3 linked regions of the Xenopus tropicalis genome follow. The protein of the gene in region 1 purifies or fractionates together with the protein of each later gene. This does not show direct contact. Links are inferred from orthologs where the notes say so. Each region holds a gene or a part of one and is shown in the gene's direction. Other genes may lie near its edges. The genes, in order: mex3c, mycbp2 and ap2a1.

Evidence for each region.
Region 2: the proteins of mex3c (region 1) and mycbp2 purify together in Homo sapiens (affinity purification with mass spectrometry; 3 studies listed by BioGRID and IntAct, with this or other methods). This does not show direct contact. The link is inferred for Xenopus tropicalis from reciprocal best matches to the Homo sapiens genes MEX3C and MYCBP2.
Region 3: the proteins of mex3c (region 1) and ap2a1 purify together in Homo sapiens (affinity purification with mass spectrometry; 3 studies listed by BioGRID, with this or other methods). This does not show direct contact. The link is inferred for Xenopus tropicalis from reciprocal best matches to the Homo sapiens genes MEX3C and AP2A1.

Annotation. Positions count from the first base shown.
Region 1 is NC_030677.2:204,603,858-204,608,098, forward strand, and holds the start of mex3c (RNA-binding E3 ubiquitin-protein ligase MEX3C), read left to right. Parts: upstream 1-1,376; 5' UTR 1,377-1,402; coding exon 1,403-1,688; intron 1,689-4,241. UniProt on the Homo sapiens protein: E3 ubiquitin ligase responsible for the post-transcriptional regulation of common HLA-A allotypes. Binds to the 3' UTR of HLA-A2 mRNA, and regulates its levels by promoting mRNA decay.
Region 2 is NC_030678.2:126,183,575-126,187,225, forward strand, and holds part of mycbp2 (E3 ubiquitin-protein ligase MYCBP2), read left to right. Parts: intron 1-986; coding exon 987-2,633; intron 2,634-2,924; coding exon 2,925-3,094; intron 3,095-3,651. UniProt on the Homo sapiens protein: Atypical E3 ubiquitin-protein ligase which specifically mediates ubiquitination of threonine and serine residues on target proteins, instead of ubiquitinating lysine residues.
Region 3 is NC_030683.2:117,153,721-117,157,371, forward strand, and holds part of ap2a1 (AP-2 complex subunit alpha-1), read left to right. Parts: intron 1-739; coding exon 740-869; intron 870-1,547; coding exon 1,548-1,649; intron 1,650-1,740; coding exon 1,741-1,849; intron 1,850-1,937; coding exon 1,938-2,088; intron 2,089-3,651.

The DNA of each region.
Region 1 (4,241 bases):
TAGGAAGAAGGTACCTCTTTTAATCTTCCGTGCAAAATCCCCAGAGCTCCGGACCCACAATTGAAGATTTGTGTATGTGCTTGTGTGGAAATTCATGGGTTGGGGGCGAGCGGAGACCATCTGGCCTAGGGGTGCACAATTTAGAAATACAGGCCTGGAGGCATTAGAAAGAGAAAACAATGTACTGCAACTATAGGGATTGTCCAATCCAAAACATACACATTAGGTGGCTAGATTTTAGTTGCCAATTTGGCTCCTTCAGTCTGAGAAGGCAGCTTATCTGCCTGTGTATGGGCCTACCTGACCGAAAATCGACCAGATATCAATCGGGCAGGATTAATAAATGTCGGAGTAATGACCACATTAGTCGTTGATGCAGTCCTCACTCCGACGGCCTGTATCCCTGTCATTGTGATCAGACATTTTGGCCCAAAGGCCAAACATTCACATCAGTCTGGTATTGCTCAACTCAAGGTGGGCCTATCAGGGAAAGAACTCATTTGGCCACATCTCTAAATGAGCAGATCTTTCAATGTATGTCCAGGTTAAACGTGGCCATACATGCTAAGATTCGCTCGCTTGGCGAGCAGATCTTCTCCCGGTATCCCCACCTACGGCGGGATATGCAGTATTATACATGGAACTTTTCTGGAAATAACACCAGCATTCCTATATTTTTAGCAATTCTCCCTATTAATAACAATAAGCATCATTCTCACTGGCCAGATTGCGACCCTAATGGGACACTAAGGGATTTGCAGTTCCAATGTATTTTCTGAATAACGTCACTCCTCCATATCATGGGGGGGGGGTGGCTGCAACTTCCTGTTACACATTCGGCAGATTATATTTTATTAGTAATATGATTATTAATCGAGACAATCGATATCCTTTCACACTTCCCAGAACAAACATGATATCACTTTTCCCGCCCATATCCTCTCGGTTTTAGTTTTAGCACGGTGACGCAATAACCCCGCCCACTCAATCCCAGACTTCCTCTTCCCTTTCCAGGCTAAGGGTGCGCCTCCTTTCCTTATAGCCATCTGCTAGCGAAACCCTCTGCCGCGCCAACCAATCAGGGAACAGTATTATTCATTCGCTCATCGCGCCAACCAATCAGAGGACAGTATTATCCATTCGCTCATCGCGCCAACCAATCAGCTTCTTCCTCAGGCTCTGGGCCGGGAAATAGGGGTGTGTCCGAACGAGTCAGGGGAAACAAAGAGAGTAATAAGGGGAGAAAAAAAGGCGAGCGGCCGGGCCCCTGTGCTGCGGAAATTAGCGGGGCCGGTGCGGCAGGGTACGATTTCCGAGCAGCGGGGCTGCGGCAGGATGAGTGTCCGGGGGAAGAGGCGCCACTGACCGCCTGAGCTCTTTGTGCCGAGAGCAGGAGGGCACCATGCCGGGAGGAGCCTCCTGGAGAGCCGGGGCCGAGCTGCTGCTGCTGGAGCCTGAGGAGATGAGGCTGAGGCTGGCCGCGCTGAGCCTGGAGGAGGAGGAGGAGGAGAGGCCCGGGGAGGAAGTTGCGGAGGACGCGGCGGCCCTGCTGATGGGCGGTGCGGGGTGTCAGGCAGGCTTCCCCCCGGGCAGTGCGGAGCAGGCGGGCCGCAGGAAGAGCGTCAATACCAATGAACTGGTGCCTGTGCCCAGCTCTGAGCATGTGGCCGAGATTGTGGGCCGGCAGGGTGAGTATCCGGGGGCAATGGGGCTACAGTGGCTGCTCGCCCATGGGGGGGGGGGGGTAATGGGGCTACAGTGGCTGCTCGCCCATGGGGGGGGGGTAATAGGGCTACAGTGGCTGCTCACAGGCTGCTGGCCCATGGGGGGGTAATGGGGCTACAGTGGCTGCTGGCCCATGGGGGGGGTAATGGGGCTACAGTGGCTGCTGGCCCATGGGGGGGGTTATGGGGCTACAATGGCTGCTGGCCCATGGGGGGGGCAATGGGGCTACAGTGGCTGCTCGCCCATGGGGGGGGGGGTAATAGGGCTACAGTGGCTGCTCACAGGCTGCTGGCCCATGGGGGGGTAATGGGGCTACAGTGGCTGCTGGCCCATGGGGGGGTAATGGGGCTACAGTGGCTGCTGGCCCATGGGGGGGGGTTATGGGGCTACAATGGCTGCTGGCCCATGGGGGGGGGGGCAATGGGGCTACAGTGGCTGCTCACAGGCTGCTGGCCCATGGGGGGGGGGGGGGCAATGGGGCTACAGTGGCTGCTCACAGGCTGCTGGCCCATGGGGGGGTAATGGGGCTACAGTGGCTGCTGGCCCATGGGGGGGGTAATGGGGCTACAGTGGCTGCTGGCCCATGGGGGGGGTAATGGGGCTACAATGGCTGCTGGCCCATGGGGGGGGGGGCAATGGGGCTACAGTGGCTGCTGGCCCATGGGGGGGTAATGGGGCTACAGTGGCTGCTGGCCCATGGGGGGGGCAATGGGGCTACAGTGGCTGCTCACAGGCTGCTGGCCCATGGGGGGGGGCAATGGGGCTACAGTGGCTGCTCACAGGCTGCTGGCCCATGGGGGGGCAATGGGGCTACAATGGCTGCTCACAGGCTGCTGGCCCATGGGGGGGGTAATGGGGCTACAGTGGCTGCTCACAGGCTGCTGGCCCATGGGGGGGGGTAATGAGGCTACAGTGGCTGCTCACAGGCTGCTGGCCCATGGGGGGGGGGGGGGTAATGGGGCTACAGTGGCTGCTGGCCCATGGGGGGGTAATGGGGCTACAATGGCTGCTCACAGGCTGCTGGCCCATGGGGGGGGGGGGGGGTCAGGAGACTGGGAAAGCAAACCCTGGGCCCAAGAGCTCACTCTTCTACAGGGGATACAAGTACATGTTTGACTCCCTGGTCGGTGGGTGTTTATGGGTTACCCACAGTTCCACATTGGCTAGTGATGGGGGGGGTCCCCCTGGCCAAGGGCATCAGTGGCTAATGATGGGCAGGCCCCCCTGGGAGTCACCTGGCTAATTCCCAGCTGTAGGGGCCACATACAGACCCCCAAGTGAGTGGGCACCTATGGTTAATGATGGGCAGGCCCCCCCGGGAGTCACATGCCTAGTTCCCAGTTGTGGGGGCCACATATTTACAGACCCCCAGGTGAGTGGACACCTGTGGCTAAGGAGTGGGTGCGAGTCTCTAACAGTGGGTCGGTGTCACAGGAGACTTTCCCCCTACTGAGTGGGTGCCAGTTGCTAATAATGGGTCGGTGTTATGGGAGACGGTCCCCCTGCTGAGTGGGTGCCAGTTGCTAATAATGGGTGGGTGTTACAGGAGACTGTCCCCCTACTGAGTGGGTGCTGGTTGCTAATAATGGGTGGGTGTTACAGGAGACTGTCCCCCTACTGAGTGGGTGCCGGTTGCTAATAATGGGTGGGTGTCACAGGAAACTGTCCCCCTACTGAGTGGGTGCCGGTTGCTAATAATGGGTGGGTGTCACAGGAAACTGTCCCCCTACTGAGTGGGTGCCAGTTGCTAATAATGGGTGCCCCTGGGGAGGTTACATGCATAATACACGGCTCGTATGCCTGATGGTTATAGGGAGTTGCTGTTCAGTGAAAAAGAGCCTAAAGCATAAATAGCGCTTGTGAGTGGGCACTTACCCTCATGGCTGTGCCTGGTGGGCGGGGCTTAGAGCTGTTTACCAGTAGTTACTTTGATAATGGTCCCTGAGTGTATATCTGGGGGTGGGGCTTAGTGTTGTTAATGAAGGGGAACATAGAACCACTAGCTTTCTAGGATTTTGACCGTGCAGACTGTCTGGGTATGTATTCCAGTGTAAGATGGGCTTTGATTGGCTATGATTCTCTGTCCATTCACTATACCGGCCATGAGCTGCTGCAGCTCCTCTTCTCTTCCTAAAGTTCTGATGATCTGGCTCAAATACACAGAACAATACACCTGTATGGCCGCTGGTACAGTACCCATCCTTTCATCCTGCGGGTCATGTGTTTACGTATTGTGGGGGATTGGGCAGTATCTGGCCAACTTCACAGTGAAACGGTCACCCCATTAATAGCCCCCCATAGTGCAGTTACCATGTTGCTGAGCTAATGGCGCATATAGCATTTGCTGAACTGGCAGGGAAATGCCCACCACAGCCCAAGCACCCTGCTATGGATGTAAGGATTTGGGGCATAGGAGCAGACACTTTAACCCTGCCCTTAGCCTCAGCACTGTGGTATTTGGGTTGATAGGGGCCAGCTGACCATATGAAGAGGCAGTTGAGTTTCTTTGAACCTCT
Region 2 (3,651 bases), on another chromosome or scaffold:
GTGATTCAGCAGCTGTAGTTACATCAGTACAGTAAATACTGTTGTTAGTAATAGTTATAATCTATAACCCTACTTCATCTGTAACACTGGAACCCTAAAGATGGGTCTGTCTTGGTCCACTGCTGCCAATAGGGAATAGAGTTGTATGTTGCATGAGACATGAGGGCTCATGTATGTCCTCAAGTACAGTTACAGTCCCAGCAATTTCCCTGCAGTCAGTTGTGCATAAAACCAGGTGTTCCCTTAGTCTTCAATTGGTGCAGCACGCTTGCATCTAAAGAATCGGGCATAAACTTCACTTGAACAGCAAACACTGGAAATGATACCAGGCAAACCATTACATCCAATTTGCAACTGCATTGGAGCACAGTTGTAGTACTTCTGTTGAATCCATTGCAATTGCATCAGCCCTGCTCCGTTGTGACCGCAGGGACACTGGAATTCTGGGATTTTAAACACGTATTTATATATTCCTTGACCTATTGTGATTAACACAGCTGATTATAAGCAGCATTCCATAATAAGATTAAAAAGCCTTTATTTCTACATCCAGGGGCAACAGCAACCTTTTGAGCCATTTTTGGCTCTTTATTTAACCTATGACAATTGACCAGAAGTCAGAATCTCCAAGCGGTTCTTGAATTGAAAAAATTGACAATGGAAAGGGATATCGTGTTATGGGTGTTTTTTGTTATTCTTTCTAAACATGGAATGTTATAATTGTTTTTTTTTACTGATTCTTAATGCACTTCATAGCAAAATGTCCTTTAGGTCTTATCTGGTGCGGTCATTAAGATGAAATTTTTTTTTACTAGATCCCCATATTGTCATTTTGTGCTTGCTGTGTTTCAGTCTTCGTTTTAGAAAATATTTTTAGTTCCCCCCTTTTTTTTCCACATACAAATGGCACATAAAGTATTCCAATGTAATTAATGATATATGAGAAGTTGAGATAATGATTTCACTTTTTTGTGATCTCTCTTCAGATGACAAAGGGCACTTTGCGAAAACTACATCTGCAGTGAACAAATCAGATTTGCCATCAAAAAACCGAGTTGAGAGCAAATCTCCAAAGCCTGACGGACGAATAAGCCGCTCTAATGCTGATCAGAAGAAACCCAAAAATAACGAAGGCCTTACTGCAAGTGAATCTCTCTTACTGAAGTCTGATGCTGCAAAGCTGAGATCAGACTCTCACAGCAGATCTTCATCTCCCAACCACAACACTCTGCAAATCCTAAAGACAGATGGTAAAGTGAATTCTGGTCTTAGAGCTGAATCACCAGGACCTGGCTCACGTTCCTCTTCACCAAAGCCAAAAACTGTGCCTGCTGGAAAGCCGAATACATCTGGTGCAAGCTCTCCACGCTCTGCATCTCCACAAGAGAAAAGCCTACCTCAAAAAACATCTGGTCCTAGCAAGTCCAAGCTTGAGCCTCCTCGGGAAAGATCTAAGTCAGACTCTTACACGCTTGATCCAGATACATTACGTAAAAAGAAAGTCCCTTTAACGGAACCCTTAAGGGGAAGGTCCACTTCACCTAAACCAAAAATTATTCCAAAAGATGCCAAACCTGCAGGCGGTAGTGAAAACAGGGCACCCTCTCCACATGTGGTTCAAGAAAACCTTCACAGTGAAGTTGTTGAAGTTTGCTCATCCAGTACTTTAAAAACAAACAGTATTACAGACAGTACATGTGAGGATAATGCAGAGGTAAAGAGTGTTGATGATGGCTCAAGTAAAGTCCATTTTAGCATAGGAAAGGCACCGCTTAAAGAAGAGCAAGATACAAGAGCATCTCCTAAAATTAGCCGCAAAAGTACGAGTAGGCATGTTCGGCCTAAAAAAGAAAAATCAAACTTTTTTTTCAAGGGAGAATCCTCAAAGTCTATTGAGCCAGCAAAGGAAGCAATGTCCCCATCTGTGGCTGAATGTGCACGGGCTGTGTTTGCAGCTTTTCTTTGGCATGAAGGTATAGTTCATGATGCAATGGCTTGCTCTTCCTTTCTTAAATTTAATCCAGATCTTTCCAAAGAACACGCACCCATAAGATGCAGTCTTAACAATCAACAACCCTCAGAAGAAAAGGAGGTTAAATTAAAAAACAGACACTCAATAGAAATTTCTTCTGCACTAAACATGTTTCACATTGCCCCACATGGACCAGATATTTCAAAAATGGGCAGTATCAACAAAAACAAAGTGTTATCAATGCTAAAAGAGCCACCACTCCATGAAAAATATGAGGATGGCAAACATGAAACTTCTGCTTTTGACTTACCCAGTCAGCATTCTGTTAAGACAAAATCCCCCCTTCCCTTAACACTGCAACACCTTGTGGCTTTTTGGGAAGACATTTCATTGGCCACCATAAAAGCTGCATCACAGAACATGATTTTCCCAAGCCCTGGTTCTTGTGCTGTGCTAAAAAAGAAAGACGGTGACAAAGATAACAAAAAGGCAAAAAAGGAGAAAAAGAAAAAAGAAAAGGCAGAGTCCAGACCCCGTGGTAATTTGTTTGGCGAAATGGCACAGCTTGCTGTAGGAGGACCAGAAAAAGATACCATCTGTGAGCTGTGTGGAGAGTCTCACCCTTATCCGGTGACATATCACATGCGGCAAGCACATCCAGGTAAGCTGAAAACGAAATTAGACTAGAGTAACATTTATGCAACAAAATATTTTCTGTAGCCATATTTCCACATTTCTTTATGTTGCAGTGCATATCTTACATAATCCTACATTTAATATTTACTCACAGTCTTCATTAGTCGCATTGTAACATGCATGTTTGTAAATATGTTCTAAAGCTATGGTAACCTAATCACTACAAAGTTATGTTTAGCATTTGTTCAAAGAAATGTGAATTATTTTAAATGTTTCTGTGTTTGTTTTTCACCTTACCCGGTGACATTGTGTGTAGGTTGTGGAAGATATGCGGGAGGACAAGGCTATAACAGCATTGGTCACTTTTGTGGTGGATGGGCAGGAAACTGTGGGGATGGGGGAATTGGAGGAAGCACTTGGTATTTGGTCTGTGATCGCTGTCGAGAAAAATATCTTCGAGAAAAACAAGTGGCTGTTCGGGAGAAGGTTTGCAGTCAAATTTACATTATTTTATTTGTTTATAACATATCTATTCCACATTCTCATGTTTGTTTTTTGTACACACTGCTCAACTGACTGGCTTTTTGTCTGTCGTTCCTATAAACCCAGTGCTCAGATTTGCTCTTTGATTAACCACACAATCCATTTTTCTTAAATAATTTTTTTTAAATTTACCTTTTTCCTCTGTAATCATTAAACAATACCTTGCACTTAATTGTGACTAACTGCACGAATCCATATTTGTGCCAAAGCAGTCCTGTTGGATTTATTTATTAGCAGAATGGTTATGAGACTGGGGCATTCTTTGATAAGGTAGTATCTGCATGTAGATCCAATAGACATCAGCCAAATTGATAGTATCCTGTTACACAAGTCTCCAATAACTTCTATCAATTTGAATGATGTCTATTAAATCTTCATGCAGCTATTGCCTTGTCAAAGAATGTCCTTGTTCCCTTCGCATAACCATCCTCTTCTCCACCCAACATTCTAATAACCCCATTATTTCTTTGTATTTTACTCAGAGGTACAAATGCAAACAA
Region 3 (3,651 bases), on another chromosome or scaffold:
ACTTAAGCGTTTTATGCCTCTCGTTTTCAGGGATTTTGTGTTATATCAGCTTCCCCATTTAGTGAATGTTATGTTTGGCCTTTTAGCATCTGTTGGTTTTATTCAATATTATTTCATTGTTTTGGGGTTGTGGCTTGATAGATCCAGTCTGTACTGACACGGGAGGGACACAGATGAAAATGAGAATTTCTCTTACCTTCTTGCCGTAAATTCCATTTCTTCTGGTTCCAACATGTCACTACAGGGTTTCCCATCCCAATTTATTTGTTTCCTGTAATGTATAAGAGTGGTGAAGAGGAAGTCAGGTGGTCTTGTAGGCCAGGATTCGTTTTGATTGGCTATGTTATAGGCCCTACCTCCAAGTCTTGGGGGGGAAGCAATACTGCCCATCTGTACTGACCTGTTGGGACTAGAAGAAATGTAAGAAGCGAAACTCTCATTATTGGGCACCTCGTTTAGTGACATTATATAAGGAAAGACAATTAGTAACCTACATAAGTATCCTGCACCTTGCTGCATATTATAGCTAAGCAGGATCGGTTAAGCAATTACAGCGCTTCTGTGTTTGTCAATAATTCAGTTCCTATAAGAAAAAAGGCTCAGTGCCAGGCCAGCAGAATTGAATCTTACTAATAAGAATCTGTATTCAGCGCATCTCTAGGCAATTCATTTAACTTCTCAGGCTTTGCAGGAACGTTGATTTATTTATTTTAAAATACATGATTTGCTTCTTTGGCAGGGACACCATGGACAGTGTAAAGCAGAGTGCGGCCCTTTGCTTACTGAGGTTATACAAAACTTCCCCAGACCTTGTACCTATGGGGGAATGGACATCGCGAGTCGTTCACCTTCTAAATGATCAACACATGGTATGTGTCTCCCATAGATAATTGTCAGGTGTAATACCAGTCTAGAGAATTGAAGCCTCAGATTCTATGGGCGACAAAGGTTCATATTGCTTGGGCATACGAGTAGCTGCTACTTTTAGCTGTTATGGTTTTATTCTTTCTATCTCTGTACAAACTCCCAATTGTCTTTGCATCTTAGGGCAGCCTATAAGGTACTAAAATGGAGAACTTACAGTGATGTGTGTTGCCCACATAGCAGATTACCTTGCAGTTCAGATGAGAAACACATACATAGCTTTACAGCACTGCTCCATGAGTGCTCTTAGGTTCATTGTTCAGATGAGCAACACTGCGGCTGCGGGTCACTGGTGTGTTACAATACATTGCTGTGTACCTTGAGTTTGGCCGGATGCCCAGAACTGCTATTATGCCCATTATCCCTATAATTAAATAACATATCAAGTTACAAGGGGTGAGCGACTCGCTACTGAACATATTAGGGCTAATACAGAAACTATAATAATATATGGTGTTTGTATTGTGTGTGTATATTTATAAAGCCTTTAAAAATGAATTTATATAATATTTTTATACCTGAGCTGCCGTAAGTTAAGTGTGCAGTGTTGTGATGGGATTGTGATGGATCTCTGTTGTGCTCCATCCATCATTCACTAACGGACGCATTGCTCTTTGTTCCAGGGAGTGGTGACAGCCGCTGTCAGTCTGATCACCTGCCTCTGTCGCAAAAACCCAGATGACTTCAAGACCTGCGTCTCACTGGCGGTATCACGTCTAAGCCGGGTAAAGTTTCCTTCTACAGTTAATTCTTACTGGCGGTGGCAATGTTTCATTCTATAAGTGCCTATATGTTATCTATTTCTCACCTCTACAGATTGTCTCATCAGCCTCCACAGACCTGCAGGACTATACATATTACTTTGTGCCGGCTCCCTGGCTCTCTGTAAAACTGCTGCGCCTTCTCCAGTGCTACCCACCTCCAGGTAACTCTCCGTGCAGTCTTCCTGCATCCCCCATAATAGCCATAGGGCGCTCCCTCTCTCTGACTTGTCTGTGTGCCTGTTGTTTCAGAGGATGCTGCTGTGAAGGGGCGCCTGGTGGAGTGTCTTGAAACTATCCTAAACAAAGCACAGGAGCCTCCCAAATCAAAGAAAGTGCAACATTCCAATGCAAAAAATGCGATACTGTTTGAGGCCATTAGCCTAATTATTCACTATGACAGGTAGGTTATATACTGATACACAGAAAGCTTCTCTATACAGGCCTTCTGTACTATGTGCACGTAGAGGAATTAGATGATGTCTAACATAATGTCTACTGATTAATGGCATTTTGGGTGCCTTGAAACACTTTGAACTTCACTTTACTTTTTTTTTAAGATTCCAAGATATTAAGGGAAATATGTTCTATGAATTTTGTTATAACAGCACCACCTGCTGCTCAGATCCAGTTGAGGAAGTTGTCAGGGGAAAGAAAGAGGGCTAAGCTGATGTTCTTCTGGTTAGGAAAAGCATTAGAAACCTCAGATACTTTTCTCACATCTTTCCTAAACAGAGAAACCTCCCTATTTCTTTCTTCCGACTAGATTCTTGACTAGTCAGTCGGAAACTTACCAGCGGCTGGGTCTGTTGCAACAAAATTAGTTTATATTCATAATACTTATTTCCATTAATATCTTCAAAATCTTAAAAACAATTAATGAATGTAAATGACAAAAGTGCTTAGAAAAGCACCTGTTGAATGTTGCATTCACTTATCCTGAACCCTAGACCATTTCCCTCATTGTTATTTGCAGTGCAAGCTGGTGTGTATGGAACAGTTTCAGTGTTGTTGTGCTACCTCGTACTGTTTCGGCAAAGGGAGAGTTAAGAGTTTCTTCCCTAAATGCAGACCCACAAGTTAAAGTTTTTGCCCCTGAGCAATGCGTAAAATACTGCAGCTTTGGAAAGCCGCTTTAGTGGCGAAAGAGCTATTGTCACTTTTTATGCTTGCAAGGAGGAATTTGTTTCCTGCTACTCCTCCCATTATTTCTGTTTCCTGTCTGGCAAACAGAAAGACTCTTGTCTTGCTTAATGACAGGGATTATGATGACTAAATATTTGTTTGTTATCAGTAGTGCAAGACAAAGTAGACTCAATTACCCTATATCCAAAATGCTCATTAACATTTACTACATCGCTGCTTGTAGATGGCTCTGGCACAGTGAATGTGAAAGATTGGAAAGCTTAGCTGAGTTGGCTTACAGGGCACACGTTTAAATAGGATATGATAGATTGGCTAGAGTATAATTCAGTAGTTATTATTGTTGCACAGAAAGATGAACAACGTCATTCACGGCTCACTATACAATCAAAACCTGTCTCGTATAAAATGGTGCACAGAAACCAAAATGTTGCGATTCTGTAAAAATAAAGTGTATTTATGCGATACCTGTAACCTCAGTCTGCATTGTACACCCCTGTAAAACCACAAAACAACACTTTTACCAGTCTGTAGCTGCCCTTAAGAGACCTGGATACAGTGTTGGACTGGGGTGTCCAAGGCCCACCCGGCCTGCCACCCCAAAGGCACCCTATCCCAGTTGCCAGTTCCTTCACCACCACCAGCTTCCACTCCACGAACACTTCTTACCCCCTACTACCTCCTTTTGCCCACAATCGGGGTGAGGGTAGAGTGCCAAAAGCTCCTTCCGGGGCTCGGGCTGGTGTCATAGGGCCAAAAGATCAAATTAGCCTGATATCACCTACCTTAGGTGGACATATTGCTTGGCAACCTCGCCTAATGA